3 linked regions of the Xenopus tropicalis genome follow. The protein of the gene in region 2 interacts with the protein of the main gene of each other region in a biochemical or structural test. Links are inferred from orthologs where the notes say so. Each region holds a gene or a part of one and is shown on either strand. Other genes may lie near its edges.

What was found.
Region 1: the proteins of nf2 (region 2) and amot form a complex in vitro, tested with the Homo sapiens proteins (2 studies listed by BioGRID and IntAct). The link is inferred for Xenopus tropicalis from reciprocal best matches to the Homo sapiens genes NF2 and AMOT.
Region 3: the proteins of nf2 (region 2) and slc9a3r1 form a complex in vitro, tested with the Homo sapiens proteins (2 studies listed by BioGRID). The link is inferred for Xenopus tropicalis from reciprocal best matches to the Homo sapiens genes NF2 and NHERF1.

The regions. Positions count from the first base shown.
Region 1 is NC_030684.2:52,194,331-52,205,242, reverse strand, and holds the start of amot (angiomotin), read left to right. Parts: upstream 1-3,887; 5' UTR 3,888-4,056; intron 4,057-10,912.
Region 2 is NC_030677.2:144,757,263-144,768,074, forward strand, and holds the end of nf2 (merlin), read right to left. Parts: intron 8,289-10,812; coding exon 8,149-8,288; intron 6,489-8,148; coding exon 6,341-6,488; intron 5,946-6,340; coding exon 5,922-5,945; 3' UTR 5,899-5,921; intron 2,564-5,898; coding exon of another isoform or gene 2,513-2,563; 3' UTR 1,786-2,512; downstream 1-1,785. UniProt on the Homo sapiens protein: Probable regulator of the Hippo/SWH (Sav/Wts/Hpo) signaling pathway, a signaling pathway that plays a pivotal role in tumor suppression by restricting proliferation and promoting apoptosis.
Region 3 is NC_030686.2:43,958,809-43,969,620, reverse strand, and holds the start of slc9a3r1 (Na(+)/H(+) exchange regulatory cofactor NHE-RF1), read right to left. Parts: upstream 9,170-10,812; 5' UTR 9,151-9,169; coding exon 8,854-9,150; intron 5,132-8,853; coding exon 5,096-5,131; intron 4,335-5,095; coding exon 4,173-4,334; intron 3,353-4,172; coding exon 3,199-3,352; intron 1-3,198. UniProt on the Homo sapiens protein: Scaffold protein that connects plasma membrane proteins with members of the ezrin/moesin/radixin family and thereby helps to link them to the actin cytoskeleton and to regulate their surface expression. Necessary for recycling of internalized ADRB2.

The sequences.
Region 1 (10,912 bases), on a different chromosome or scaffold from region 2:
CTATTTTTTATACGCCTTGATAAATATGCCCTAGAGTGGATTTTTTTTTTATTTATTTTCAAATACTGGCAGTTATGTACTGTGAGTGAGGCCACAAAAAACCATAATAAGCTTTCTGACTTAACAGCAACAGGTGGCACATCCAAAGGCTTTTTGCAAAAATAGAGTTCCTGCAGTAAATTGTAGCCCAGGGATCACAGATAATTATAAGGTTACAAAATAAAGCTGCTAGCTGGTGGAAGCAGAGCAGTATTGTTTTATGGCATATATATATATATATATATATATATGTATATATATATATATATACCCCCGTTGCAAAATATAAGGATGAGGGGGAAGGCAATATTAGTGAGTCATGTGACAAAAATAGCATCACTAAGCAACTATTATAATTTACAGGATAATTTTGACTCTTTTGTACTCAATATACATAAAAATATAGAGGATTCTGAATAAGAGCTCTATATTATATATATGCGTGGGAATGCGGGCCAGCGTTGAAGAGTGCAGAGAAAGCAGCGCCATGCACCAAGGGTAAAATATGACCCATGACCTCTACAGCATCTGGCACTAGAAAGTGGCAGCTGGGAAGGTGTTGGCTGTCAGTACCTTGCACTGCTGGTGAGATACAACAACTCAGCTCTATAATCATCCCCCAATGCTGTCAAAAGAGGATCTTTTTTTCCAACAATTGTGTCATGGACCAGCACCAAGTCTTCAGGGATCTCAAAGAACCTCTGGTCTAATGCAACTATTGTAATGTTTCCTTTCCATTGGGTCACACAGCAGGACAGATTTGGATTTCTACCATGGGTTTCTGCCCTAGTGCAAATTTGGCCAGTGTTTATAAACTACCTCCACTCTTATTTATAATAATGTTAACATTTGGCTTTATACATTATAATATAACAATATGTTATACCGAATAACAATGTTTATTGTAAATAATAAGGGTAGAGACTTTAGGGCTTGGAACTAGGGACAGGCAGAATAGGTACATGCTTAAAGAGATACTGACGCCAGAAATGAAACCCTTTTTACAACTGTTATAACATTGTCTTTGCATGCTCTTTATAATTTTGCCATAAATGTATTTGCCCAATACTTTTACATTACCTAGCTAATCCCCATGTTCCTCTATGAGGGGGCTGCTATATTTGTGCAGCAGGAGTCCCTTAGCATTAGAAGCTATAACTGACAGGTTGAGACGGGACAGTCAGGCTGGCAAAACAGTCAGGTTTAGGATCTTCAAGTAGCAATTACTTACAAAAGCAGCCCTATCAGTAAAAAATAAGAAACATGACCTATAGGTAACTTTTTTTCTGTTTTTTTTCTGTTTTATGATTGAACAATATCCTTCATTATGGTTAACAGGAGTCCATCCTGGCTTACTCTAACTTATTGTACCAGAAATCATGATCAGGAGGGGCCTGTGGGTGAGCAACAAAACTATGTAGTTAATATCATTTTATTTGTCAAAAGTCATTACAAAGTTGTTCAAATAGTTATAAATTGCGTTAAAGTATGCCATCTATGTTAATCAGTGCTTAATGATGTCACTTGTGTTACACTGTTCTTGTTTATTATAACAAACAACCTATCCCTTATGTTAAAGAAGCTACCAGCACTCAGCATGGCCTCTATAACTCTATAACTTGTAACCTTAGAGCTGTTACATCATTACCTATATAAATTAAATATAAAATATATATTTATATAATAAATTGATATATCATTTGTGGCTTTAACTATAGCCTTGGAAAATGTCTTTCTTAAACTGATCATAATGAAAATAAATAAATAATAATAAAAAAAAACTTGCTTCAAGTCTAGTAAGAACCATCTGCTGCTTTTCCAAAGCACCTATTGACAGCTTTCCCGGGTCTATGAAAGATAAATAAATAGGGCTTCTAAGTTTTACCAAATACAAAGGGATGCTAGAAAAAAATATGTGGTGCATGATTTTGCCAATATTTTTACCATGCCACACCTACATTTTTAAGCATTTACAAAAAAAATGCAAGAAGCTGGAATTTTTAGACTTTTAGACTTGAGTGAAACCAGGACACAAAGAGACAAAACTGAGACATATAGTGCCCCAACACCAAACTCTCTGGGAAACAGTTTAAAAAAAAAGGGACATATGGGAGCTCCATAAAAGATATTTCATGCAAATAGTATACAGAATATGGGCAGGCTAACATATCCCACCGCTTTGCAGATCTGCACAAGCTGCAGGTCAGAGGCCCCACTCTGCAAGTCAATCCCATATCCTGTTTAGGAAGCTAAGGAAATGCTTATCTGTTAATATTGATGGTGAAAGAACTTTTTTGATTATTAAAGGAACATTTATATTTAAAGGGACAAAATATTGACAAAAGATTGTTTTCAGCATGCTGTCTAAAAAAAGATTACTCCCATAACCAAGAAATGCTTTGTTCAGAAAGTATTTCTTTATTAACCAAGTATAACAGCCTAAAGGCTTCTGTACTTCCTGTTTTTTTGCTGCAAGTGTACTGGTTTTCAGCCAGAAACCTGTAAATGGCTTAAAATGAACCCCTTATTTATGCCTTCATCTTGTTTATGTTAACTGAGTGTGGCCTTTATAATGGGTGTGGTTTGCTTAAATTGTTTCTATGACACTCTCTAATTATATTTTTCCCCTTCCTTCTTTCACCTATTTTAAATATAAAAATCTGAGAGCCCTGTACAATGTTATATGACTGTTACCACTGTGAAACCTAACTAGTATAAAAGCAAGACCATGTAATACAGGCACGGACTGGCAATATATGGATTCCGGCAAATGCCAGAGGGGCTGCTGCAAGATGCCAAATAAACAGTCACTATTTATAGGGCTAATGGAGGGCTGTTTGGGCCTCTGTGTGTTTGAAATGCCTGGGCTTATTTTGAATCCCAGTCCTAACCCAATGATGCTGAATCATCGCGTGTGAGTCCTACCCGAAGGCATGGGTAGGTCCAACGTCACCGAAGCTAGGGTGAGACCCACCAGGTCGTTGGAGTCTCCTTCGCCTTGCAAGTTTTGGCCTGGGGTCAAGCCCAATTGACTATGACACCCATCCAGGGTGCAACAGGGCCAGAACTAGAGGTAGGCAGTACAGGCAGGTACCAAGAGGGGCAACTATTTCACACACAGCAGCACACTAGTTCAAAGGCTCATTTTCATGGGGGCCATCCAGGGGCCTATAAAAGCTGTTCTCTGTCAGTCAGCAGTATATCGCCTGTGTATGGGGCCCTCAGAGGAGCCTACCCAACCGATATCTGCCTGATGCAAGTTAAAAATCCAGCCAGGAGGATGAGCATGTTGGTGCATTGTTGCTGGCCTCATCTCAACAGCCTGTATCCTGGCATTTAGTGAGAATCTTTCGGTGTATTGCCACCTTAATTCCAGATCCTTGTCTCTCCTCCCCACCCTGTTACCTTACCTGGTCTTTGCCCATCTCTAACTCTACTACATAGGGGTAATGGTGTATTAAAAGCATTTGGGGAGATAGACCCTTGCCTTGAGTGCCAAGATACTTGCTACAGGTCTTGTAACGCAAACATGCAGGTAAATGATCCGTCAGCAAGATACCCTATGTCCTTATGCCCTATGAACTTTGCCAAGCTTCCAAGTACTAATTTATAATGCACAATAAAATAAGGCAGATAGCCCCAAACAGTGGGTAGCCAGCCAGTGTGATCTAATTCTCCTCACATTCTCCGACAGCGTATAACTCAAGAGAGCTTTGTTGTAAGAATTGTGTTGCTGAGTTACTTCCCAGCGCTGGAAGGGTTACTAAACCTTGCCCTGAATAAACCTTGGAAGCACAAAAGGCTCCTGTGTGTTCCGGAGTGGCAGCCCAAATGGCCAATGGGACACGGACAAGAGGAGGCGTGCTAGCCAATCGGCAGGAGCGGGCGGTGACAGCGCGGTGACTGAGGCTGGCAGAGTGTGTTGGGCTGCCGTGAGGGACTGGAGGGCTGTGCTGTATGTGTCGGAAGGATATCTATCGGCGGGACCGGAGAAAGGAGAAGCTAGGCGCTCTCACAGTAAGTGCGCACTTATGGAGTTAGCAGTGGATTGTAGCTGCCACGCCGCTGCCTTTTGCTCTAATTATTGGTTTACGCGCTCTTGTTGTTCCGCCGTCCCTGGCAATACACAATTGTATGTATGTATTTATGTAGAACTTTACCGATATATCGCTATTAGCCTACCATACCCAGTGCTATACAGTATACTGTATAGAAAAGTGCTCAAGGGTGCAAGCATTTTATACCTACAGGTTAAACTGCAGCTGTTCTGTACCATTTGTAATGCCCACATCCAGTTCATATTTTCATGTTCGTACCTCTGTACAGTTTACTGTGTGCCCTTAGTCATGGGCACTTACTGGCACCCCTATGCTATAATATTTATATGTCCAAGTTTACGAGAACCTAATGGCATACCATAACCTGCTGTAATGTAACCGTGCCCTGCACTGTGGGCACCAGTTCCCACCTCATACTGTAATGTTGGTGTGTGCCAGGCAAGGGTACCAGTTGGCACACTAGTAACATGCAGCATTACTGCTGTACCCTGCGCAGGAGTCTCTAATTCCTTTCTGTTATACATACATCTTGTTACATCCTGTGTCTTGGCTCAGCCTGTCTATGTGGGATCTTTCATCCTGTAACCATGCTGTATTCCAGGGTATGGGCACCTACTGGCACCTATTCCTTGCTCTAGTACTGGTGTGTCCTTGTGTAGGCACCTACTGGCACACAGTTCCATCCTGTAATACTGATGTGCCCCAGTGTGTAGGCACCATACTAGCACACAGTTCCATCCTGTAATACTGATGTGCTCCAGTGTATAGGCACCTACTGTCACACAGTTCCATCCTGTAATACTGATGTGCTCCAGTGTGTAGGCACCTACTAGCACACAGTTCCATCCTGTAATACTGATGTGCCCCAGTGTGTAGGCACCTACTAGCACACAGTTCCATCCTGTAATACTGATGTGCCCCAGTGTGTAGGCACCTACTAGCACACAGTTCCATCCTGATAATACTGATGTGCTCCAGTGTGTAGGCACCATACTGGCATACAGTTCCATCCTGTAATACTGATGTGCTCCAGTGTGTAGGCACCTACTGGCACACAGTTCCATCCTGTAATACTGATGTGCTCCAGTGTGTAGGCACCTACTAGCACACAGTTCCATCCTGTAATACTGATGTGCCCCAGTGTGTAGGCACCTACTAGCACACAGTTCCATCCTGATAATACTGATGTGCTCCAGTGTGTAGGCACCATACTGGCATACAGTTCCATCCTGTAATACTGATGTGCTCCAGTGTGTAGGCACCTACTGGCACACAGTTCCATCCTGTAATACTGATGTGCTCCAGTGTGTAGGCACCTACTAGCACACAGTTCCATCCTGTAATACTGATGTGCCCCAGTGTGTAGGCACCTACTAGCACACAGTTCCATCCTGATAATACTGATGTGCTCCAGTGTGTAGGCACCATACTGGCACACAGTTCCATCCTGTAATACTGATGTGCTCCAGTGTGTAGGCACCTACTGGCACACAGTTCCATCCTGTAATACTGATGTGCTCCAGTGTGTAGGCACCTGCTGGCCCCCATTCCATCCTGTAATACTGATGTGCCCCAGTGTGTAGGCACTTACTAGCACACAGTTCCATCCTGTAATACTGATGTGCTCCAGTGTGTAGGCACCTACTGTCACACAGTTCCATCCTGTAATACTGATGTGCCCCAGTGTGTAGGCACCTACTAGCACACAGTTCCATCCTGAAAATACTGATGTGCTCCAGTGTGTAGGCACCATACTAGCACACAGTTCCATCCTGTAATACTGATGTGCTCCAGTGTGTAGGCACCTACTGGCACACAGTTCCATCCTGTAATACTGATGTGCTCCAGTGTGTAGGCACCTACTGGCCCCCATTCCATCCTGTAATACTGATGTGCCCCAGTGTGTAGGCACCTACTAGCACACAGTTCCATCCTGTAATACTGATGTGCTCCAGTGTGTAGGCACCTACTGGCCCCCATTCCATCCTGTAATACTGATGTGTCCCAGTGTGTAGGCACCTACTGGCCCCCATTCCATCCTGTAATATTACATTCTCACAGTGTGTGGGCACCTACTGGCTCCCATTCCATCCTGTAATACTGATGTGCCCCAGTGTGTAGGCACCTACTGGCCCCCATTCCATCCTGTAATACTGATGTGCCCCAGTGTGTAGGCACCTACTGGCCCCAGTTCCCGCATGTAATACTAAATTCTCCCAGTGTGTGGGCACCTACTGGCCTCTATTCCATCCTGTAATACTGATTTGTCCAATTGTGAGAGCACCTACTGGTCCCCATTCTATCCTGTAGTGCTGATTTGTCCAAGTGTGTGGGCATCTACTGGCAATCCATTCCATCCTGTAATACTAAATTCTTAGTGTGTGAGCACCTACTGGCCCCCATTCCATCCTGTAATACTGATTTGTCCAATTGTGTGAGTACCTACTGGTCCCCATTCTATCCTGTAGTACTGATTTGTCCAAGTGTGTGGGCACCTACTGACAATCCATTCCATCCTGTAATACTAAATTCTCACAGTGTATGAGCACCTACTGGCCCCCATCCTATCCTGTAATACCAAATTCTCACAGTGTGTGAGCGCCTACTGGCCCCCATTTCATCCTGTAATACTGATTTGTCCAAGTGTGTGAGTACCTACTGGTCCCCATTCTATCCTGTATTACAGATTTGTCCAATTGTGTGGGCACCTACTGGCAATCCATTCCATCCTGTAATACTAAATTCTCACAGTGTGTGGGCACCTACTGGCAATCCATTCCATCCTGTAATACTAAATTCTCACAGTGTGTGGGCACCTACTGGCAATCCATTCCATCCTGTAATACTAATTTCTCCCAGTGTGTGAGTACCTGCTGGCCCCCATTCCATCCTGTAATACTAATTTCTCCCAGTGTGTGAGTACCTGCTGGCCCCCATTCCATCCTGTAATACTAATTTCTCCCAGTGTGTGGGCAACTACAGGCACCACATTCCATCCTATATCACTGATGTGTTCCAGTGTGTGGGCACCTAGTGTCACCCCATCCCATGCTGTAATACTGATGTGTCCCAGTGTATGGACATCTACTGGAACCGACTCCATTCCATGCTCTAATACAGTGTGTCCCATTGTGTGGGCACCTACCTGCACCCCATTCAGGATGTATTATTAAAGTGCCTTAGTACATTAGGATTAATGTAACAGGTTTTCCCATAGATATATTGAACAGTACTAATGCCTGTATCTCAGTGCCAGTTGAAGGGGACTGGAAAATAAAATGAGAACAGGGTGGCAGCAGTCATGTTAAATAAAGGGTAACCAAAGCTCTTAAAAGCATAAAATCACATGTATGCAGAACTGTATCTTCTATCAGGATTTGGGAGCTCTCTGGGGGTGCAGGGCTTATTGTAGACAGCAACAGGGTTCAGATCCATCCTCTTTATTAAAATCAACTGCGGTTCCTGCATCATGTGGTATGTCCTTATGTGCTCCAGTAAACCACAGTCGTGGGCTGTGAGGCAGCAGGCCAGGTGTCTGTCGGGACTACTCAGTTAGGCACCTTAGGATGGAACGCTGTCCTTACTAGCTGTGCTTTATACACAGGGGGAGAACAAGTTTGGGGATCTTATAGACTTTTGTATTGGCCAGTTGGTTTAATCCTTCATATTTAAAATACTTTGTTTAACACACTTTAAAAAAAACCCAAAAAATCTGATTAATATTAATGTTAAGGATGGTCTACAGTTAACTAAACTGCATTGAACATTTTTAATGGATTTTACCAGTTTTAAGGTCATACTAAATTAATGAATTGTTTAATATGCATTGGTAAGTCCCTGATGTGGATGTTGTCACTGTATGTTTTGCATATTTCTTGCTGCCATTATTAGTCATAGCTTTTGAATTTGTATCTAGTTTGGGAGTTGCTGGCAAATAAAGTGGCATACCTGTATTAAATCTGCACTGAGAACCCAGCAGCTCATTTGAATAGAGATATATTGAGTCTATGCCATAGTGATGTTAGGTATGTGAGTCATTTCATTGGCTCGCCTTGCTATGCACCTGTCTCAAAATGAAATTCAGCCACCTGCTCAGAATGCTCTCTCCTCCCTCTCCCCGTCACTCACCCCCAGCCACCGTTCCCAAACAAGAGGAAGGGAGGAGTCGGCTTTGGCAGGGAGGGTTCCTACGTGGCTGGAGACCTGGGTGGGAACTTGACATTCCTGTCTCCAGGAAACCGCAGTACCAGCAAAGGCATGCCGGGAGTAGCACTCCGTTCTATTATTCATTGTCTCTCAGCAACATGTTGCTGGTAAAGTCAGGATAATTCCATACAAGCGTGACTGTTAAACTCAGTTTTGTATGCAGCTTTTTGTGTGTGCACGCAAGTTTTTTATACTAATAAAGTGTAAGAAGATACATGTAGAGTTTGTGCAGGAGTTAAAAGACCAAAAAGTTTGCTTTATAAGAAAATGTAATTCTAAGAAACTTTTTAATTTACTTTTCAATGGGTGTAAACTTATTTATAATTTCAGTTGACAGACCTTTCTGCACTGCTGGTTTTCTCTGTTGAAACAATGTAGCAGAAGTTCACCAACCATGCTTCTTCGCAGTTCTGTCTTTTGCTGGATTGTCTCAAAGGTCAAAACCACTGGGGCAGATAATGGTAAGGAACAGGCATCGTGCATTTAACAGCAGAATTGCAGTTTCTTGCAACATTACATGTTTTAGATTCTAATAAATTATAGAGATACTTAGATATATGGTGCCTGCCTTAAGCATCATTGCCATGTTTTTCACTTTATATCCCCTTAAAGAAAATAGACAGGTAGATTTTATATTAAAGTAATATGACAGTTATGTGTGTGAATGCACAACTTTTCTTCGTTGTGCAAACAATTACAGAAATGGCAGGTGCCCATTCTCCATGTAAAACAAACAATGGTTCATCATACTTAATGAAATGAAAGGAAGCTGCATTGTTCTAAAACAAATGTCACATTTCTCATATTTCAAAGAGTGACTTGGAACATCAGGAACTTCATAAAAATATGTGCATCATTTTATTAGGTCAACAACACATGACTGTATGAACTGGAGTGTAGAAATCACTCAGGATCAGTTTTTAGCAGATTTTATTACTAACCTCTATCCCATCAAATATTTACATTTTTTTTCTAGAGAAGCAGGAGCATTCTCACTGTTGTATTTGTTTATTTAGAGCAAGTAAGGCATTGTGTAACTGGGTTTCTAGCCATTGTGTAGAACTGAAAATGGTTGACTATAAGGATACTTACCCATGGGTGCTTGACTCAAAGTTGATATCCAGTGTGTTTGCTTGAAAGTTGTATTGGGAAAGTTTTGTCAAAGCAGGCGCTATAGCTATGATTGAAAACAGGCTTTGGTTGGAATGTATCAAGAGCACAGATTTTGGAGCAAATTTATGAAAAGGTGACACCAGAGAAAGTTCTCTGTTCACTTGTATTGGATTTCAAGGTATTTTATGAGAGGGTAAACTGTCACTTTTATTGTTTAGTAGTAATGGTGATGTTGGGTATGTGTGTCATTTCATTGAATTGCCTTGATGTTTGGGTAAGCAAGGTATTGTGTAACTGGACAGAACCAGATTTCTAGCTATAGAACGGTCAAAGGAGAGAGGAGTGGGATGGAGTGGTGACGAGCTGGGCTAGCAGGTGAGCTACAGAGAGGCAGGAACTCGGGGTAGACAGGCAGAAGAGATAAATTATGAGTGCCCCAAGGAACATATCTCTTCTGCCTGCTCCTAGTTCCGGCCTTATTTCTGTTTCTCCTTACAATAAATTTGCCCCATTTATCCAGTTCTAATACACTGTGAGTGGCTAAGCGCACTGCAAGCAGGTGTATTGGTCACAGTCATTGTCAGGATCTAAAGGGACAGTTTACTCTGATGCAACAGAATACCTACAGATTTTATGATTCTAGCTAATATTTGTCCTGCCACTGTTACCCAGTCACTACTGAAGGGAATTGGTTATAAAGAGTCACTCAATTGGTACTAGATTATTACACTTGCTCTTTTTCACTTCTCACATTTATCTTTAGTCTACAACCTGGCCAAAATCATATTTGATGTCAAGGTTATTAATAGGAAAGAAAGGTAGCAGATATATAAAGGCTGGTATTATTCTTCCAGGAAAGATAGTAACCCTAAAAACCTCCTGCCTGCATATGACATTATCGGGCATATTATATTAATATTTCAGGTTTCCATGTTGAATAAATACTTTCACTTATGTGTACAATTATACTAGCAGTGGTGTGGCAGTATTCAAGGCTGGCCACCAATATCGGCTCTTTTTCTAATCATTCTCTAGGGAGTTGAGGAATTCTGAGGTAAATGAGACATTTTTCCTTGAATGCTGCAGAAATGTCAATGCTAAACAGACTCCATTGTGAATCTGTTGACTGATTCTTTAGAAACGTTTTAAGAAATAACCTTATTCATTACATCCTTGTAAGAAAATGTGTATACATATACAGCTGTTAGAGCTGCCGGTGATTATTTTTGGAAAGTTTTGGGAAGAGCCTCCAATTTGTTGAATTCTGTTCTGTTAGGCGGCAATAGAAAGTATGTGACAGAGCTTCAGTTTCCTTCTTTGAATGGGCCATTTGTGGTGTCAGGGTTACCAAGGAATGTGAGGTTACTGGGTCAGAGGATTAAAGCCCAGGACATGTGAAAGAATCTTTGCCTCTCTCGGATTAAAGAGAATATGTGACCCTTACTGGCCAGGACCTCTGTGGTATGTTTCTCACCCTCTCCCTGTGGCCCAGGGGA
Region 2 (10,812 bases):
GGATGGATAAGAACATTCATTTATTATAATCCTGAAAACCAAAATAGCCTAACCTTTGGCAGACTTGGTCCAGAAGGACGGCTCGATTCATAACTCTATGCAAATTTGAAAATGAAAGTAAGACCATTAGAAAATGACAGGTATTAAGAAAAGAACCGTATCTAGAGGTGAAAGTATGAAAATGCAAAACAGAGAAATGCTGCAGGAGTCTAAAACTGGAATTTAACAGAAAACCGGCAGCAGAAACCTTAAATAGCAGCAAGGTCAAGTGGACTGCACAGGTTACATGTTAGCAGGGATGCGGTGATTTGGTTTAGGATTCAGGCAAATGATTTTTAGAGAGCCCAGCCAAATTAAACTCAAAACCAGAAAGTTGAATTTATCACTATTCAGCTCTGGATGAGTAAACACAATGTGTTTCCTTCGCAACTGACGCCTAAAGTTTAAAAATTGCAAAATAGGGCTTGGATTTGGCTCTGGATTCTGTAGAATCCTTTGTGGCGAATTTGAGGTTTGGCTGAATCTAAAAATGATAGATTCTGTTCATCACTAAATTTAAGAGTGGGATTAAATGTCTGCCCGCGTAGATATAACTGTTCTTTGTAACACAACACAAATTGTCTGGGCAGTGCACTGATGCCATTTTAAGAATTCCCTCCTGGGATAGGATTCACAGTGCAGACAAACAAACCAAGGCACACATACATGCTAGGCCACATCAGCCAATGAATAGACAGAGTTTTGCCTTTTGCTTCCACACTTCTTCCCCGTTAGTTAGAGCTGCATTATTTCTGGTCATGTGATCTCTGAGGGAGCACACAGCCCATCACTAAATGGTGGCTCAAGATAAAACATGTAAAAGGGCAATATTTACTGATTATATATATATATATATATATATATATATATATATATATATATATATATATAATCAGGAAAAAACAGGTGCACTCCAGGAACCTTTTAAAATAAAAGTCAAAATTCTTTTATTTAAGTCATTTTAAAAATGTATCAGGGCCAACGTTTCGGTCTCCTCCTAAGACCATTGTCAAGACCATATGTACACTTAAAATCTCCATATAAATAGGTAAAACCTGTAGCCCTCACCCAATCCCATGCTCTCCCATCAGTCATAAGACTGGAGGAGAAGCCCTGTACTCAGGATAAAAAATACCCAGCTTAACTATATACACAGGGACCCATGCAATTAGGGAAATGTGGTTAAAAACAAGTGCATAGTCCTACTGACTAAAAAAACAGTATAAGGTTAGCTGACGCGGCCGAGTCCTGGTCCTATGGAGGCCCCACGGGGGACACGCATATACTCTGCACGAGCACAATACCGTAGCAGCAGGTACCCCCGGACTGTGCACCTCACTTTACCTGACATCGCCTCCAAAACGCATGGACAGAAAGGCTGGTACGTGGACCTGGCTGAAACCAGTTAAATTATACTGCCTTGGGTCCCCAAAGTGTGGCGCTGCATGCAGATTGAGAATTGTACACAAGAGGGCTGTCCAGTATATTAATGGGGTTACTGTAGCTGTTGAGGAACGCGCTGTTGCTATGGAGCGCTTCCACTATGAGACGGGTGCTGCACTCTCTCCAGACTGACAGGTTGGGGTCTCTGCCAAGTTTAATAAGCGGGGCATGAATGTGTGTGTGTGTGTGTGTGTGTAACTGCTTTTGCTAAATATACCAGTCGAGTCATTGAAGAGTGAAATCATGAACATTTTATACATTCTTTGCTCACCCTTTCCCACAAAAAAAAGCCACGTAAACTCGTTTTGTTTTAGATTTCTCTTTTTTACTTAAAAACCATATTGAAAACAAGACACATAACTGAAGCCACCCTTCAGTTCTTGAATCTCAAGAGTGTAAACATGGACAAAAAATGATATATATAATATATAAAATATACATATAAAAATACTGCAGTTTTTTTTTTAAATTCAGCAGCGCAAACTGAATTAGTCAGTACAACTTCAAGGCCACTCTCCAAATAACTCCCTTCTTTCTTGTAGTGTCACAGATTGGGAAGACATTACTCATGCCAAGTGGGTATGCAACTGGTTAAAATGCTGATTCAAGAAGCATGTCATAGTCCTTCCAAAAACTGCATTAAGGACCAAAAGTATAGGCAAAGGGAAAAATTCTTATACATAAAAACAGTATTGAGTATTGAGTATAATGTATTTTTTTTCAAAAAATTTCCCCTTTAGAACAAATAAAAACATACTTGAGTTTCCTGAAAAAAATATTTTTGCAATTTCCCAGTTCTAGCAGACTATGTGGCAAAGCACTATCCCTTAATTAGCTTACGATGAAGCAAAAGGGAAGCAGCAGTTTTAATATTAGAATTTAATGGAGACATATCTGAGGGTGCCCCTTGTTTCCCAGTGTAAAGATAAACGGTAGCACTGCATATTGACCCCTCTAATTGTGAAGAGTTGTCTGGGAATCTTTATGTCCTTGGGGAGGCTATAGCTGTCTGGAGCACCCTGGTAACGTCTTAGAGTTCTTCAAAGAAAGCCACTCTGCACTGTGTGCTTTGAAGGGTGAGCTGAGAAGAGACAAAAAGAGAGGTTAAAGGAAGCATTGCCATCAGCAGCAATTAATACTCTTATTAAACTGTTATCTATCAGGAATGCCTACATTTACGCTTTCTTTTATCACTTTTACTCCCTGTATTCTTCTGCTGCACTGCAATTCAGAGCACAAGCTGCAAAAACTGTAATAGCAGACACATTGTCCCCAGTGTGTGGCTAAACCACATGGCCAACGTGTTTGAGTACAGTAGTGACTTCATGCTAAATAATTCAGTTCATAGCCCCAAGAATGCAGCTTATGCATTACACACTGCACACATACAAAGCTCCTACCCTCACATTCATATTAGCCTTTGACTCCCAGGCCTTTTTTTTTTTGATGCTGAAATTAAACCTGCCTAAATAAAGACTACTTAATAACAAACTCAAAAACAGAGTAACAAAATGTGTTTATTTCTTTACATTCTATAAATTATTTCTTCTCTGTGGCTTATCATGATCGTTTATATAATGCAAGCAGGGCTTCCCAGGCTTCCACAGAGTAAGCTTTGGGTACTGACACACATATAATAACCCTAGAATCATTAGGGCTGACATAGGCATTGCCAGGGTGGAAGTACCACAGCTGGCCTAGACAATGTGAGATTGGGTCCAGCGCTACACAGACCTGGCCTGGACACATGCAGAATAATAATAATACTAAGGACCAGCAAAGGAACACCTTGAAAGCAACAGCTGTTACATATACACTTAGGAAGCCAGGGTATGGATTGTACAAACATTTTGCTGTACTGGACCAGGCAGATCCGACAGTGCCACAGTTAACAAGGACTGCTGACAGATGAAAACAGTTTAGTCTATCCTCAAAAGCTTGTCACAGTATACATCAAGGCCTTAACCAAAAACACCTAAAACAACTGGAATGCATTGTTTTAGAAACATAAAATTATGGACTGAACACTGTAGTATAAAATCTTTAAGAGTAATTTCACAGCACAAAAAATAAAGTAGTTGCTGCAACTACTACCATATTTGGGGTGCTATAAGTGCACTAGAACCTCCTCATCCAAGCAGACCTTACAAGTGCTACCTGAAATTCCACATGAATATTGCAACCTATTGACATCATGCACAAATGGGGACGACACACACAACTTGCAAAGCAACAATATTAGCAATCCTTTCAAAGGGCTACTGTTTTATGTTTCATCCCACTGATGATGCATGCCAACTGTACAGAATATACAGTTAGGAATAAAGGTTTGTGACTATGTGTGTGTGTGTGTAAACAAAGGTTCTAATGTTGTGCATATGGTTTTCTTCAGTATATCCACAGCACTTGTTCTTTTCAAGTGTGCAACAGTCTTTATTTGCAGGGATCTTCAGCACTAGGAAAACATGTGACAGATTTTTAGTGGAGTTATAACAGGCAACTGGAACACAGACAAACTCTGCTAAGTTTCCGCTCTGATGCATATTGCAGGCAGAGCACTGCAGGCAGGGAGGGGGATTCCCTAGGGCTGCCTCTGGCTGCCCCCATTCTCTCTGCCGACCGGCTTAGCTCTCGCATCCAATTAAGGGTGATGCGGGGCGGCTGGCTTCCCTCAGAAAATAGAACACCTCATGTGTGAGAATCAGGGGGTGGTAGGAGGAGAGATGTAGCTGTGGGAGAAAGGAAACCCCTGCGAATGATGGGAGGGGGAATTCATCAAATTTTTAGATCATCACTTATCTCTTGACATTCAGCCGCAAGTACCCATATTATTAGGGGTTTACTGCAATTAGTTCCATATTCAGTAAATTACAGTTAAGACTGCAGGGAATACTGAACTTAGATTAATTAACACTTCCTTTAATACTATAATACACAAGGAATTCAAGGAAAAGAAATCACAGTCCCTAAAATGTTATGCAGAAGATTAAATCATTAAGAATATGAGGGGGCATTTTCTGGAGAACTTCTTATAGAGAATGTAAGCACTGAATGCTGCAGGATCTGATAAGATGGGAAGCATAGGGATCAATCGCAGAGAAAGTTGTGAGCAGCAAGTTTAAACAAATAAAATGTAATGGTGCGGATTTACTAACATAGGTGCTAAACTGCAACTTAGCGCATAGCAACCAATGAGATTGTTAATTTCATGTTTAATCTGGTTAAAGCCTAATCAAAATTAAAAGCTGATTGGTAACTATGGGCAAATATACTTTTTGCTATTTAGGCTTATGTCCCTTGGAAAGATACAGTCACCTGCGATAGATCTCTTCTGTCGTGGTTAACTAATCTCTCCAAAATGCCTTTCCACTGGCAACATCACGAATTACAGGTGGAATGGCCTACACATAGCATTGACTTTCTGAAGTCATGCAAACTTGTCTGCAGGAGGAAACTTTGTGTGATTTTGGAAAACCAAACTGATGCGTAGGCATTTCTACCAGCGATTTATATTGTTGTATTGTCAGTGGAAAGGCATTTTGGAGAGATTATTATTATCATTTATTTATAAAGCACCAACATATTCTGCAGTGCTGTACAATAAGAGATTAGTTGAACTGCGGACGACTACATTTCCTCATGGGACATCAGCCTTAGTACCTGTGTTTGTAAATAAGTATGAATTTCCGTTAACAAATCCTGGAGTGCAGACTACGGTCACACCTCCAACACCTAACTGGACTTTAGCAGTATACGGACCACTCCATAACTGACATTTAGAATGCATATATATATATATATATATACGGTATACAGATTGTGCTCGAAACGTTGGAATTTTTTCAATAAAACCACTTTTTCTTTTGTATCAAGTCCCTGTGTGTGCGGCACTCTTTCTACTATATATATATATCAAACTCAACAGTAGAAAGCACTCACAGCTACAGCATCAATCAGGTCAGTGATTTATTTCAGCATACCATCTACACGTTTCGATCACCACAGGATCGTCATCAGGATGTATGTATATATATATATATATATATATATATAGCAGGACACTTGATAGAAAAAGGGTGTATCGACAGATGTACTTTACAGCATCAGCTCTAAAGGATGGATGATGTGGGCTCAGCACAATGTTGTCATACAAGTAAAGAATGACACAGCACCCCATTAATAGTACTGAATAATGGACTAACTGGAAAATAACAGATAAGACATTTTAGAGTCTTGCACCAGAAACGTCACTACACCATAACCACTAAAGTGTTCCTAAATCACATCAGTGCAGCGCAACACTCAACACATAGAAAAAAAGGCATCCTGATTTTGTTTGGAATGGGTTATGCACACATACACACAAAAATTAGTGTTACACAGACTGTGTTAGTGGTACACACACGCTCACAATACCTGGCACACACTATGGATCACGCTCAGATGCAGACAGCTCTCCTCGCCTAACAGAAGAAAAGAAAAATGCCAGAATATTTGAACACAGTTAACTGACAGGGACCAGAGTACCACACCTCTTCCTTACGCTTAATGCTTGCACATGGTCTCAGCTCTCCATGCATGTGTGTGAGTACTGCCCATAATAACTCTCCACCTAAGCACACATAATAATTCTTTATAGCACACACATTACTATATTTAAACTTTTTCATATCTGTGTTTACCTTTTATAAATCTGTGAGTCCTTTCCCCAACTACATATGTACAAATATGCTGTTCTTTCATTACCCTGTAAATCTGTTTGCCCTGCTTTCTTTCCCATTTGTGCACATTTTTTGCATGAATCCAAGTGCATTTGAACTGCCTTGTGTATCTGTGCACGCACTGTATGCAGACTCACCTTTTTAATTGTGTTCTGTTTGCTGCCTGCATTCTCATGCATTATATCCATGGCACTTTCTCTTTCCTTCAGTTTTAAGGACTCTATTTCTGTCTTGAGCTCATTCAGCTGTTCCTGTAAGTGGCGACTCTTCTCCATGTACTCAACCCTGAGAAACAAATAAAAGTCAGAGAGCCCTTACTTACTTCAGATTATCCTTTAAAGTTAGTACCACAGATGTGAAATTGGAACTCCATGCCCTGAATGACACAAACAAAAAGACCCATGGACTAAGCAACTAAAACAAATGGGAATGAAGCATGTATATTCATAGGGTTTCCTTATGTGTGCATTCTTAGTCCAGGATAAGTCCAACAAAACTACACACTTGGTGTTGTAAGCTGGAGACTTCATTCCTAATAAGCAGAAAGAAATCAGTTTACTGACATGCTTACAGACCCATGCAGATTTAACAGAAGCACACACAAGTTTAAACAGGATAAAAGTGCTGCTCTAACATGTGACTCATCCTGTGAAAATGGGCATAACTGGTTTAGAGGATGCATGGAAAATGTTTATTTCTATTATGCAACCCCTGTTTGTTGTACTGCAGTACTAAGTTTTGGATTTCCTCATTTATTTGATTCCACCCCCTCCTTTTGCAGAACACTGCAGCCAAGGCATTTTACTAACGATTTTGGTCTGTGGTGAAAAATTCAACAGGAGAATATTGACAAATCTGCACCCTGAAGTAGGGAAATATTTAATTGGAAGTTAAGAGCAGGTTGTGTGGATAATATGGAGGGGGGTTCTTTATAAGCATAGGATTCCAGGATATTAGGCCCTTTTAAAAACTATCTATAAAGGATTTAGAAGTGCTGTGTCAGTGGCAGCTATGCCACCCTAACCAGTCCAGTGTAGACAATATTTTATTTAATAGTACTTTATATTTGGCAAAATTTCAGTAAGTTCAATAGATGTATATTTACAGTAGGACTAGTACATCTGGTTTTGGTGTTACAATAAGTAAAATTATCTGAAAAGTCTGAAAATGTTTTTCCCCTCTCAATAGCTTTTGTTCAAATGTTTACAGTACTGAATGGGGCTTTCCAAATATAAAATATCTAGATTTTTTACCTGCTGTGGAAAACATTATAGTAAATTTTCCATAAAATGTTCTATGCCCAAGAACAAATTTCCTATGTGCACGTTTATTTAATACTGCAACTGGATGTCTGTAATACAGCTTATAATACAAGTGATAATTTATTAGGTGTGCAACATAATGACCTTCATTATCTGTAACTCTGTTATATTCCATTATACGAATTTCTGTTCATACTTAAAGTGCGGCTCACCTTTAAGTTAGCTTTTAATATATAATTTATAGAATAATTATAGACTGTCCTATACCTAGAAATTGGTCTTCATTTTTTTTTCCAAGTCCTTGAATTATTTGCATTCCTCTTCTACATCTTTGCAGCAAATGAGGGTCACTGACCCAGACACCTAAAAACCTATTGCTCTGTGAGCTTACAATGTTATTAATGCAGGCCCCCTCCTATTCATATTTTAGTCTCTCATTGAAACCACTGCCTGGTTGCTAAAGTAAACAAGAACCAAGCAACCAGATAGCTACTGAAATTCCAAACTGGAGAGCTGTTGAAGAAAAAGCTAAATAACAAAAAACACAAATAAAAAAATGAAAACCAAATGCAAATTGCCTCAGAATATCATTGTTTACATCTTAATAAAAGATCATTTAAAGGTGAACAACCCCTATAACAAGGTCCTAACTATTAAGTGAATTTCTTTTTCCATTTGCTCACTTCTCCTTTTCAATTTCCATGGACAGACGCTTCATATCTGTGTCCTTGAAATCGTAGGGTAGACTATCACTGAGCATGCTGAAGCTTGGCACATCTGTAGGTGGCACAGTGCTGCTGCTGCTGGCGGCCCCTGCTGCTTGCTGTGGAATGACATAGTTTAGATTTAGATGAATTCCATGCATATTCTTGGAACAGTAATTGCAAAGTTCAAGTCTGACAAAATATATAGCAAAACATGAAGTGTCCTTGTTTTGATACCTGGGCTGAATTTCTAAAAATTACTTTGTGCTAAATACTAAAGGTCATATTTCCTTTGCAAGGTAGTGATAATATAATGGAACAGTCAAACTGCTGTTTAAAAAAAGTAAATACCTTCCATTCTACAAAGTTTGGAAAACACTCCCTTTTTGCAGTGTGTGTTTTATGACTGAGCCTGTCTTTAATCAAACCTCCATCAAATATGAAAGGGAGCTGGAGGTAACGAACCCCTCTTACGCCATATCAGTTTGAGATATACCTGGCCAAAGCATGTTTTTCCACTGCCCCTGAGCAGAGTCAAGATTGCATTTGAGCCTGGAGTGGGCTCTGAAGTAGATATGCTAGCATTATTATTTATATATTATTATTACTTACTGTTAATTACAGAAAGTTTAGCTATTAATGGTTTACGTGATCTACTAAAGTTTATGTAATCTCTTTTTTTGGGTGGCTATTTGCTATCACTCAAGGAATTCTGCCTGGGAAGAGGTGCACACCTAATCACAGGAACACCCAGGATAAAATTATGCCTAGCACTACAAACAGCAAATTTTTGTGATTCTGAATTAACCCTTTAAAATATGCAGTCTTGACATTTACATGACATATTTCAGGTGATGTAGATTCTACATTATTATTCTACACTTTTGTATTTCATGGGAATCCAGCTTGCACTTCTGCAAGCCAGCACGTAACAGGTTAATTAAATAGCTTGCTGCCAAAAAATGAATAGTTTTAAGAAGAATTCCAGATGATATGACACCAGTTTAGGTGTTACATTTACATAGTAATCATAACATAGTGAATTCCACCACCTGTAGGAATAAAATATGTGTCTGTTTCCTCAAACGTGGCCAGCAAGTCATGCACAGACACACAGGGCATGTACAATACATGTTTTGATCAGGGCTGTGGAGTCGGAGTCGAGGAGTCGGAGGCAATTTTGGGTACCTGGAGTCGGAAAAAAATTAACCGACTCCTACTAAATTTAAATACGAATAAAAAAAATAAATAAAGCAAGTTTAAATGTCCCAATTCACAAACAGTCATAATTAATTACTTCTCTGCTAGAGTAAAGCCCAATGCAAAGCCAGTAGTTCTGTGGTTAAATGACATGTATGTCTCCTTCCTTTCCTTCAATGAATGTATAAAATACATTAGCATATTAAAAACAGAGGAGTCGGAGTCGGAAGTATCAGAAACTGAGGAGTCGAAGTATTTATCTACCGACTCCACAGCCCTGGTTTTGATATCAGTGATGCAGATCCATATGTAGCTCTTTTATTATTGTGCTGTTGCTGTATGTTTTCTTACACTTCTGGACCCAAAGCTAGGCATAAGTGAAATATGTTTTAGGTTTCCTATGACAGTTTTCATTTAAGAATAGATACAATTAAATCATTATGTACTGAAAACTGACAAACAGCTTCTATATCCTACTGAATGCCCAGGATGGGTAACATAAATACAAACTTCATAAACCCACTTCTTAATGTTATATATAAGTAACACTATTAAAGAAAGTTTTATGGGGGAATAAGGAATAAAATCATCTACAAAACATCCCATTGAAATACTTCAGTTTTTTTTACAGGTTTCAAATTAGTGCTGGGCAGTTTTATGTTGACCAATATAAAGGTTTTAAAAACACCACATATTAAGGCTACGCTGAGAATTGCAATGTATGATATAACCCTTAAAGAGGATTTACACTATAAAAATTATTTAAATCTTGTTTCCTTCAGTCTTGGAATTCACAATCACAGCAAGCAAGCAGTTGCCATTTTGTGGCACTGTTATTAAGACAAGCTTTTTATCACCCCGAAATCTTGTTTATGTGCCAGAATGGGGGGAGGGACAACATGCACATGCCCAAACACTGGCTACAGAATTAGATAGTAAGGAGGGGGTAAGTAAGAACTGCAGTGACATCATGGACAGTGCAGAGTTGAAAGTAAAAGTAAGTGTTGCCCCGCCCCGTGAGGCAGGCACTATATGTGACTAATTGACAGCTGGGATTTTTAAATAGCTTTATAATGGGTATGGATGTGTTCATAAAGGAATTTGAATTTAATACATAATTTTAAAAGGATTTTTATCATACAGCTTTGTGTGTCTGTGTGACAGGTCCTCTTTAAACTGCCTTGCTAAATACAGTTATCTAGTTTAACATACAGTTGGGTTGAGGCAGGAGTTCATACCACCGTCACCTGCTCTATTAAAAACAGAAAACTGCTGATCATAATACCTGACTGTATGCACATGTATGTCATCTGGGGTGAAAAAATGTACAGATCACAATTAGATTGCAATTGTCTTGCCAAATGATAATTTTACCTGTCACTGCACCAACTTGTAAGCCGAAATGTGCATCCTCATATGAGGAAGTGGCTGCTATTCCTCTCG
Region 3 (10,812 bases), on a different chromosome or scaffold from region 2:
TACAGGTACTGTTTTATTATTACAGAGAAAAGGGAATCATTTAACCATTAAATAAACCCAATAGGGCTGTTCTGCCCCAATAAGGGGTAATTATATCTTAGTTGGGATCAAGTACAGGTACTGTTTTATTATTACAGAGAAAAGGGAATCATTTAACCATTAAATAAACCCAATAGGGCTGTTCTGCCCCCAATAAGGGGTAATTATATCTTAGTTGGGATCAAGTACAGGTTATAGAACTCCTTGGTAACCTAGAATATCCTTATACATTACAAAAGAGGGTACTGCAGAGAAAGCACCCCCCCACAGTTGCAGGGTACTGGATACAATACATCGGCCAAGTTTCTGAGAAGGAGATTATAGCTAAAACCTACAAAAACAGCAGGATAGAATGACTGAATTTAAAGGTTAAAAAGATCCCCTGAATGAAGGCTTAGCTATTTTCCCTTTGGATGTAATTAAGGCTCGGGAAGGCAACACCAGTTCAAACATAGCCTTTGTACTGTGTGAGCCTTACACAAGCACGGGTCAGCCGGTGCACAAACTAGCCCTACATCACACTCAACCAAGCAATACGTTTACACTGTCGCCTGCGACATAAACATAAATACCCAATAAACATTGAGTCGGGTTTGAGAAGGGAAGCGAGAGCGCTGCACACTGGAAGTGTAAGCAGATTGTTGTTGTATAAAGAGGCACCGGGGAAACAGTCTCCAATCCTTCCAGCACCCAGCGGGAACTGGGCCAAGCCCGAGAGTTTATACTAATCGTCTGTGTGTTTACTTTGAGTTCTCAGGCTGGATTTGTGTCCCTGGAGACACTAAACAAAAGCATACAGAGGAGAGTTAATGAAGTCTCTGGATATTTAAAAACGAGGGGGGGGCACTTCGGTAGGGGTTCCATAGCCGCTAATTTCATGTCTTAAGTCTGGAATGTAAGTGTGGACATTGTGACCACCACCGACTGGGGCTTAGGAACATTCTAGCAGGGTTTTTTAGCCCAAAAACATAGGGGCAAGCGGAAACTGCAACCCTATTTGGGTCACACAGACTGACAATCTATGGGTACAGGCAAATGCCATAGACAGTCACTATTTATTGGGCTGGGGGGGGGGGGGCTGTTTGGGCCTCTGGGTACTGGGAATGCCAGGGCCCAGGCCCAGACTGGCAATCTCTGGGTTCAGGCAAATGCCAGAGGGGCTGCTGTAAGGTGCCATAGTCACTATTTATTGGGCTGGGGGGGGGGGGGGCTGTTTGGGCCTCTGGGTACTTGGAATGCCAGGACCCAGGCCCAGACTGGCAATCTGTGGGTTCAGGCAAATGCCAGAGGGGCTGCTATAAGGTGCCATAGACAGTCACTATTTATTGAGCTGGGGGGGCTGTTTGGGCCTCTGGGTACTTGGAATCCTTGGGCCTATTTTGACTCCGTTTGGGCCTGCGTGCAACTGAATGCACTAATACACTGAAGTGATACTTCTAGAATGTCGATTAAACCCCCCCCCACTTCCTTATCTTAAAACCCTTAAGACTTACAATTACCCACATCCCCAATGTGCTACACTGTACAAGTATGAAATTCATGGTGAAATCCCAAACTCCCGGGCAGCTCATTTCAGCTTCTAAATCCATAGCACACAAGAATGTAATCCTGTTCAGTGTCACATGTTACGGACAAAGGATTATTGGAAATGTCAACACAATGAAATAACCAGAGTTATTAGAGCCTTAGTGGCCATGCAGGCACAGATCTGATTGGGCACGCTGGCCGATTTCAACCTTACTGGGCAGCCTTTTATTCAGTGGCTGCTTTGATGGACCATCTTGTGATCCTTCTCATACTGCAGTTGGTCTTTCTGAACAGAATTCTGATTAAACAGAAGGCTGACTAGGCATTATGCCCATCTGTGTGTATGGCCAGATCAGACAATTTCCAGCCATTTATTCCAGTCAGCTATACCCTTTAACAGATTACAATATAATTCAGATAAGGTGCCAGCCATCTTACGATTCAGTGCCAGGCCTAACTATAAGAGCGCCAAGGCAACTCCCGGAAGTTCACCAGTCCTCCCCACCAGTTAATTGTAATGTGTATTGTCACCTTATGATCTTCAGTTGCAGGAAGAATTGTTCATTTTCTCCAACGTTAAGAGCTGAACTGTCAGATATGCAGGTAGAAATAATAATTCTACCCTTATCTGGCATTTCAGCATTAACTTTTGCCAATGTCTGGCCACCTTCAAAAGGTGCCCAGTCAAAATTTCCCATCCTGTCCATAGTCAAGACTACGGATATCCAAGGATTTTGCCGACATCGGTCACCTCGACAGATGCACGCACAGGAATCCTATGCGATTACCGAAAAGCCAAAACTAGGGGCAGCCAGGCAGAATGTATGTGCCCAGTGCCTCTGCCCACCCTTGCGCCTAGGCACATGCCTCTTCTACCTACCCCAAGTTATGGGCAGGAATCCAGACAAGCCTAAACTAGGAGAAGGCAAGCAGAAGAGGTATGTGCCATTTGGAGGAACCCCAACTACTCAGCCAAACCAAACCTAAGAAAGTTATGTAGGTGTAAAGCTACAATTCTTAGCTTGCAATGTGCAAATTAGAGCTCTGCATTCATCCAGATCTATTGCAGAGTCTGTTTGGCTGAACCCAAAAGTTATGGATGTGGTGCATCCCTACTTCAAAGCTTCCGCGGCGGATACCGCCGATCCGAATAGGCACAATTAAGCATATAAACCACGGCTCGTGCAGACTTTATGGCAATGTTTTTACTGAAGATGTATAGAATAAAGGTAACAAACGCCTATAACAAAAAACTGTTTGTCCTTTAAGATGGACAGCACCAAGGAGTGATGGGAAAGGAGCATGATTATATAAGAAGGGGGAGGGTGAAACCACTAAGATAATTAGCGTGATTAGGATTATTCTCAAGGTTTCCACAGCAACCCTTTGTTGGCAGTAATGCCATAAAAAGCAATGATACAGAGAGAAGTAATCCCTTTGACATAATGGCAATCCTATTGAAAGATAGTTTGCTGTGCAGCATTACTGAGAAGGAATAGGTACTGTAAATCCCACAGCCCTCCCCTGTTCCACCTGTTAGGCAGAAAGCTGTGTTGGTGCAATCTATATAATCTGGTTAACGAGATTGCAGAGGCGGGTGAGGAAAAGACACAAGCAATATAGGTTACTCGCCTGTCAGATGCTGTTTTCCCGGAACCACATTGCACTCCTTGAAGTAGGAATCTGCCTCTGGGTCCAAGACAAGCAAGGAAGTCTCGTCTCCCCCTGCCTTGATGGCAGCCACCACATCGCCATGCTGTTTCCCAATCACATTTAAGCCATTAACCTGCGAGAGATACAAAGACCACCACAATAACAATGCAAGTTTATGCTGACCCGAGAAATTTCAAAATAATTAAATCGCCAGGTCCTGGTTAGAGACTTTCAACTGCTGCCATATTGCAGTGACATCACTTCCTAAATGCTACTGGCAGCCAATACCATAACAGTGCTTTTTAGCCTTGGTTCTCCAATACATGATCAAGGGTTAAACCAACATGATCAAAATTATTACCTATTAGATAACGCTTGACTGAAACTCCCAGCACCTTTTACCATCAAATGGAAGCATAAAAGTTTCAATAGACTTGAAGGTTGAAGAAGCCTGCAGATTATATTTTTAAAAAAATGCCAGTACCTCAGATCAAAGGTAGTTATGCTGGGTAAACGTATCAGTTATATAAAAAATATAATGCTTAGAAAACTGCCGTCACCTTCTGTTTTAACTCTTCTCCCCCCCCCCCGAACCATGAAGTACAGTACAAATAGCCCCACCTACTATTAAGGCATGACAAGCTAAAAGCAGAAATAGAAAGGAAGGGGGTCTTTAAACTATTTTAATTCCCTAGGGCAGGGATCAAAAATCTTTTTTTTACTGTAAAAAGTGTTTGTGAGCCACACTAGCCTGAAAAAAAGTACTTTGGAGATGCTGAAGGACTGTAATTGGCTATTTGGTAGCTCCGTGGAGACTGCAGGCCTGTAGGGGGCCTCTCAGAGCAACATCAAAGGGGGTGCTGAGCAAAGTGTCGAGCCACTGGTTGGGGGATCACTGCCCTGGGGGTACCACTATGTCCGGAACCCCATGCTACCACTAGTGTGGCTCATACCTCTACAATGCGATCCTTGGGTAGAAGCCCTGCAAGTTCTGCTGGTGAGTCGGGATCCACCGCTCGTACAAACTGCCCTGGGTGAACCTTGTCACTGTGCAGGTTGAATCCGAAACCACTTGGTCCTTTCTTTATGGTGCAGAGTCGGGGTCGCAGCTCCTTCTGAGAGACACAAGGGTAAGATATCAGTCACAGTGCTTTAGTTTTATAATGAGAGGTAGAACTCATCCCTCACATCTCCAGAACTGTGGGCCCCCACACCAGCCCCAGTAGGCAAAGAACAGGTTACTAGCAATAAGTTAGCTGCTTCCGCCTTCCCCCAGCATGCCTCGACACGACAAATCTTCTCTCCTTCCCTCTGCCCAACTCAGTTGGCATAAAATTGGCACATGAAGACTTCTAAAGCCCCAGCCAAAAGCGGTCAAAAGGGAGTGCCAAAGTAAGGGGGGGGGGGTAGATGAAAGTGCAAGCAGGACACGAAGTCTGTATAAAAACAGAAAGGCTACAATTGTCTGAGTCCACACTGCGAAAGTAAAATGAGCATCCAGCAATGCGACTTAGTTCTACATATGAACCGAGTCGACCCCCCCATGCTGCACACAATGCACTCTTGCAGGGGAGGGGGGACCTCAGCTGAGAGTTCGTTAGCAGCTTGGCAGGGAAACAAGAGGAAGTGAGGAGGCCGCAGCGAGAGTGACATGCGGGGGGGCAAGTAGAAGAAGTTCACACAGTAATGTACCAAACACCAGACAAACCTTCCTCATTCCCAATATATGGTCAGATTTGTCCAAATACCCCCAGCCGCAACTTCATTCTGGTAGCAAACTTGCCATCTATCCAGCGAGGGGCCAACAGGATGGGGAAGGGGGAATAAATCATTAATTGTAGCCTTTTGCATAGTCGGGCACTATAGTGGTACTTACCCTATCCAGGACAGGGGTGGGTTGCTTCTCAGTTGCCTAGTACAGGGGAAGAGAAAAAGAAAAATCAGAGCCATATATACATAAACATGCAGTATGCCATCCATATTGCCCCTTTATAATAATCACTGATATTGACTGGTTAGAAACGTTGCACTCATTGGGGTAACTACTATGCAGCAGGCCCCATAAATGCAGGAGGGCCCCAGACTACTTAGTACCCCACATTTATCCTCTGCAGTCTCTCGTGCCTCCAGCGATCATCCACCTTCCCTCTAGCCTTCCGACTGGCCAACTGCCAACTGGGAGAAGGCGGCATGATCAACACAGCGGGGTCATTACTCAGTGTGGTGGGGGGGGGGCAGCTAAAGCCCTGTTACATATGAAATATTGGCATGCGTCTCAGTGTGCAAAATAATCCATGACAGAGCCAGGAGAGTATTTATATATACTATTTAATGCTCCATTTCACACCCCTAGACCCCAGTATAGCCTACTGGATGAGAAAGGAACACGTTCAAGCAGGGAAGAAACTGGTGTGAAAGTGGTGGTTTTAACAGACCTTTTCTCAAGCCAACACCTCTCTAGAGCAGAACGTTAGCTGTACAGCTACACAAAATCATTGCACAACTTTGCAAAAAGGTACAATTTGTTGTCAGGTGCCAAGGTTTGGTTTATTTCAGAAAAGGGCAATGAGTAAGTGGGGCCCCTGAGACTTTTAGAACCCACTGAGTGAAACTCAATGACCTTTGCAGCCAAGGGTTCTCTTACCATTACCTTCCATATGATATGACACTATGGCACTGCCAAGGCTCTCCCTGGCATGGCTTGTATAGACTGCCAGAAAAATGCTTTTATTACAAGTGTCAGTTGTGACTGCCACTTGGAACAAGGTGACAGTCTTAACTACCTAGTGTGGGTCTTTATACTGAGCCGAGTAACCACAGTGGTCATGCTCACTCTGCATGTCACTGCCTAAAGACAGAGAATATGGTCTAGATCCGGGGTTCCCAACCTTTCTTACTCATGAGCCACAGTCAAATGGAAAAAGACTTGGGGAGCAACCAAGCACCATAAAAGTTCATGGAGGTGCCAAATAAGGGCTGTGATTGGCTATTAGGGGCCTCTATGCACCCTATCAGCTTACAGGGGCTTTATTTGGTAGGAAATCTTATTTTTATTTCAACCAAAACTTGCCCCCAAGTCAGGAATTCAAAAATAACTCCCTGGTTTGGGGGCACTGAGAGCAACACCCAAGGGGTTGGGGAGCAACATGTTGCCCCAAGCCACTGGTTGGGGATCATTGGTCTAGATAAAGTGGGCATTACTCAGAAACATATGTCAGTTCTACTTGGAGGAGGAGGGGGGGGGTTCTGATTGGTACATAGGCTGGTAATTGATGCCAATCCAGGATAATGGCACAGCTCCACCACCACCAACACATAGGGTACTATATACCCTTCTCTATAGAAAGAATTAAATACCCAAGTCTAGGATTCATGCCAGGCAACTGAGGCACTCAGGTACCCAGCTGAAGCTGCCACACCAGACTGGAGCGGTGCCATGCCAGGGCTGTCTTTAGTGCTGGCAAGGCCCAGGGGCAAAAAGCTTGTTGAGCTGCAACTGACTTTGTATCTAGAATAGTTGTGCCGAGACAGCCGAGCCTCTGTTATAAAGTCCCTTCCTAGAAGCCTTTCCTGGAACTTATACCCTGTGGGGTCCCGATTACTCTCTGGCCCATAGTTTGCTTCCCACTAATGACAGCGGCATCCATCATCAGCTTGGCTGCCGTGTGTGGCCGATCCACTAAACGGAGAATAGCGTACCCCCAATTGTAAATTATAAGGATATTAAAAGTTAAAGAGATCCATATAAGGCAGGTGTCCCAAACCTTTTTTACCTGTGAGCCACATTCAAATGTAAAAAGACTTGGGGAGCAACACGAGCATGAAACCTGTTCCTAGGGGTGCCAAATAAGGGCTGTGATTGGCTATTTGGTAGCCCCTATATGGACTGGCAGCTTACAGGAGGCTCTGTTTGGCAGTACACCTGTTTTTTATGCCTCCAAAACTTGCCCCCAAGCCAGGAATTCAAAAATAAGCCCCTGTTTGAAGGCCACTGGGAGCAACATCCAAGGGGTTGGGGAGCAACAAGTTGCCCCTGAGCCACTGGTTGAGGATCACTGATATAAGGACATGAGGTCAATGGTTGTTGGCATTCCATGACCAGTCTAAAACCACAAGGCGTTCTATTGGTCATGGAACAAATGGTGACTTCTAATATCATATTATATAATAGTGGTACGGTTTTTATAGACACAGTGAGTCATATGACAAATTACATCATTAAAATTAAAGATAACTGATGACATCACTATGCACCACGTAGAAGAACCCATTTTACAGGAAATCATGGCTCTTTGATTATATCTTTATAATTTACAGTTTGATCACTCCCCTATGGGATCCTTATAAACGGTGCCTAGTGATGTCATCAGTTATAATCAGAGCTCAGTGATGTAATTTCTGTCACACAAATCACTAAAACTTGGATATTATAATAAAGTGCCCCCTGTTGTAAAATATGAGGATATTACAAGTCAGCCTTCAGCTCATGCTTTTATATAGTAAAGGAACTCCTCTGTGACTTATAATATCCTTATATTTTACAATAGGGGGGTACATTATTCACTATATATTATAAGGAACTCCTCTGTGACTTATAATATCCCTATATGTTCCAATAGGGGGTACATTATTCACTATATATTATAAGGAACCCCTCTGTGACTTATAAAATCCCTATATGTTACAATAGGGGGCACTTTATTCACTATATATTATAAGGAACCCCTCTGTGACTTATAAAATCCCTATATGTTACAATAGGGGGTACTTTATTCACTATATAAGGAACTCCTCTGTGACTTATAATATCCCTATATGTTACAATAGGGGGCACTTTATTCACTATATATTATAAGGAACCCCTCTGTGACTTATAAAATCCCTATATGTTACAATAGGGGGTACTTTATTCACTATATAAGGAACTCCTCTGTGACTTATAATATCCCTATATGTTCCAATAGGGGGTACATTATTCACTATATATTATAAGGAACCCCTCTGTGACTTATAAAATCCCTATATGTTACAATAGGGGGTACTTTATTCACCATATATTATAAGGAACCCCTCTGTGACTTATAATATCCCTATGTTACAATAGGGGGGACTTTATTCACTATATATTATAAGGAACCCCTCTGTGACTTATAATATCCCTATATGTTACAATAGGGGGTACTTTATTCACTATATATTATAAGGAACTCCTCAGGGGCTTATAAAATCCATATATGTTACAATAGGGGGTACTTTATTCACTATATATTATAAGGAACTCCTCAGGGACTTATAATATCCCTATATGTTACAATAGGGGGTACTTTAGTCACTATATATTATAAGGAACTCCTCTCTGACTTATAATATCCTTATATTTTACAATAGGGGGTACATTATCCACTATGCAAACACAAGTTCAGCATTAGAAACTCTAGCAAGAGCAGTATATACCCTGGCACTGCATGGCATCACTTAGCAGGGGTAGGATACTACGTATAAAGCCAGCAAACTGCCCCGACCCCCCCATACTGAAGGGGAAGCTATTATCAGCAGGACTCCAGTAGGCAAGTCATGTGACCAGGTGCAGTGGGCTCGCCAGGCTGCCCCCATAATTCGCTCTGAGCCGAGTACCTTGTTTTCTTCTTTAGGGGAGCTGGGGGCCACCTCCTCCTCTACTCCCTGTACCTCCAAGGTGAGTTTCTCAGTCGCTGCCCGGATTTTGCTCACCACCTGCTGGTGCCCGAGTTCCCTCACATCCTCCCCGCACACCCGGATGAGCCGGTCCCCTGCCCTCAGTCCTGCTTTCTCAGCTGCTGAGCCAGGCTCCACCAGCCTCACATACTGGCCCGGCCGGGTCTTCTCACTGTGCAGATGAAACCCGTAGCCCGAATCCCCCTTTTCCAACACGCACACCCGCTCCGAAGCCATATCGAGCCGCTACTCTGCGCCTGACTGAACTCAGGCTCTGCCAGCTTATAGATTATATAGCGAAAGGGAGGGCGCGGCGGTGACAAATATGAGAGATGTCCAATAAGAGGGCGGGGACAGTATTGCCGAGGGACGTGATTGGAGGAGAAAGTTCAGAGAGAGGCGCGCCTATTCCAATGAGCTTACGCGGGATTCGGGCCCTCAGAGTAAAGTTTAATCAGTGCCGCCGAGTCATGTGACCCGGGGAATATAATACGGCCCATAGGCACAGGTGGCATCTTTACATGTCTGCTGTCAGTGAAACCACTTTAATGGGTCATTTGACATCCAAGCAGCATCTATAAACCTGTACATAGACTGACCCAACTGAGTATGACAGAACATAGAGTATTATTGCAGCACCTCAGGCAGCAGGGTGGAGCTGTGCCAGTGAGGGGAGGGGTGGGGGGGTTGATGATGGCAGCAGTGTTTATAATAGTGAGCAATTAGTGCATTCAGCATGGGGACTTTGCACTGGAGATTAATGAGCAGCTTGAGGCATCCAAAGAATGTGAGAGGAGGGAGCAGTACAACTCCCCAGTACCCTGGCATGCACCTGCCCCTCGCCTCATACAGCTCCTCAGGCACTGCCCCTCACTGAGGCTACCATTATTGTGCTGTTTAGCTCAGTGTTATTTGCTCACCGGGGTGCCATTCTAGAGAGCTGTGCATGACACAATATATATGCTGAATTCGGAAGCGGCAGAGGTGCGCACTGGGACCCCAGGGGCCCACCAGAGAACCTAAGACCATGGGCCCATTCTCCAAAATATCCTCCTTTCTTCACAACCATTTTATTCTCCTAGTCTGTTTTATTTACATGCTAGCATCTATTCTTCCATCTATTCCTTCTCTTTCTTCCCATTCAGAAATAGGGAATGACCATGAAACAGGCCAAATGGTCAGGAGCAGGAAGGCCCACTGACCCCTGGGCCCAGCGGGAGTTTTCCTGGTATCATGGTTGGCTGGTCCAACACTGGGTGCCAGGGTCGGACTGGGCCGCCCTAGTGGGCCCAGTCCGACCTTTGCCGGCGCTCCCCCTACTGACTGTTCCTCCCCTGACGCGTTCAATTTATACGCGCTCGGGGAGGACGTCAGGCGGGGGGGTTAGGGGGGCCCCTGGGGGGGTTAGGGGACGCGGCTGGGGCACTTGCAGGGCCCCTGGGGCGGGAGCCCCGGTGGGCCCTGCACCCCCCAGTCCAACCCTGCTGGGTGTGCAGCACATGGGGTCCCCCTAGAACGCCCCTCGGTTAGAACCACACAAGTCAGGGTGCACTAGGAGAACCAGTGGGTTAACTATAGGGGAATCCCTCCCCCACCCAGCTGTGATGCCCTGTTCCCCATGAGTTTGGTTGGTGGTGGGTTCTGTGAATGATGGGGGAGCCAGGCATCCAGAGTAGCACCCCTGTAGCGAGCCCCATATTAAAGCCCACTTGTGGATCCCTTTTGCCTGTGTGAGCTGCTGAATTTTTAATATGTCTCCAAGTGCAAATATTATTACCGCATAGACAAGTCCTCCATGTACAGGACCTAAGGCTAATGTCATATGTGGCGTGGAAATCGTCCCACTGCCACCCACTCTGTGTTGCAGCAGCATTGACCGCCATGGCCTCCACCTGTCAT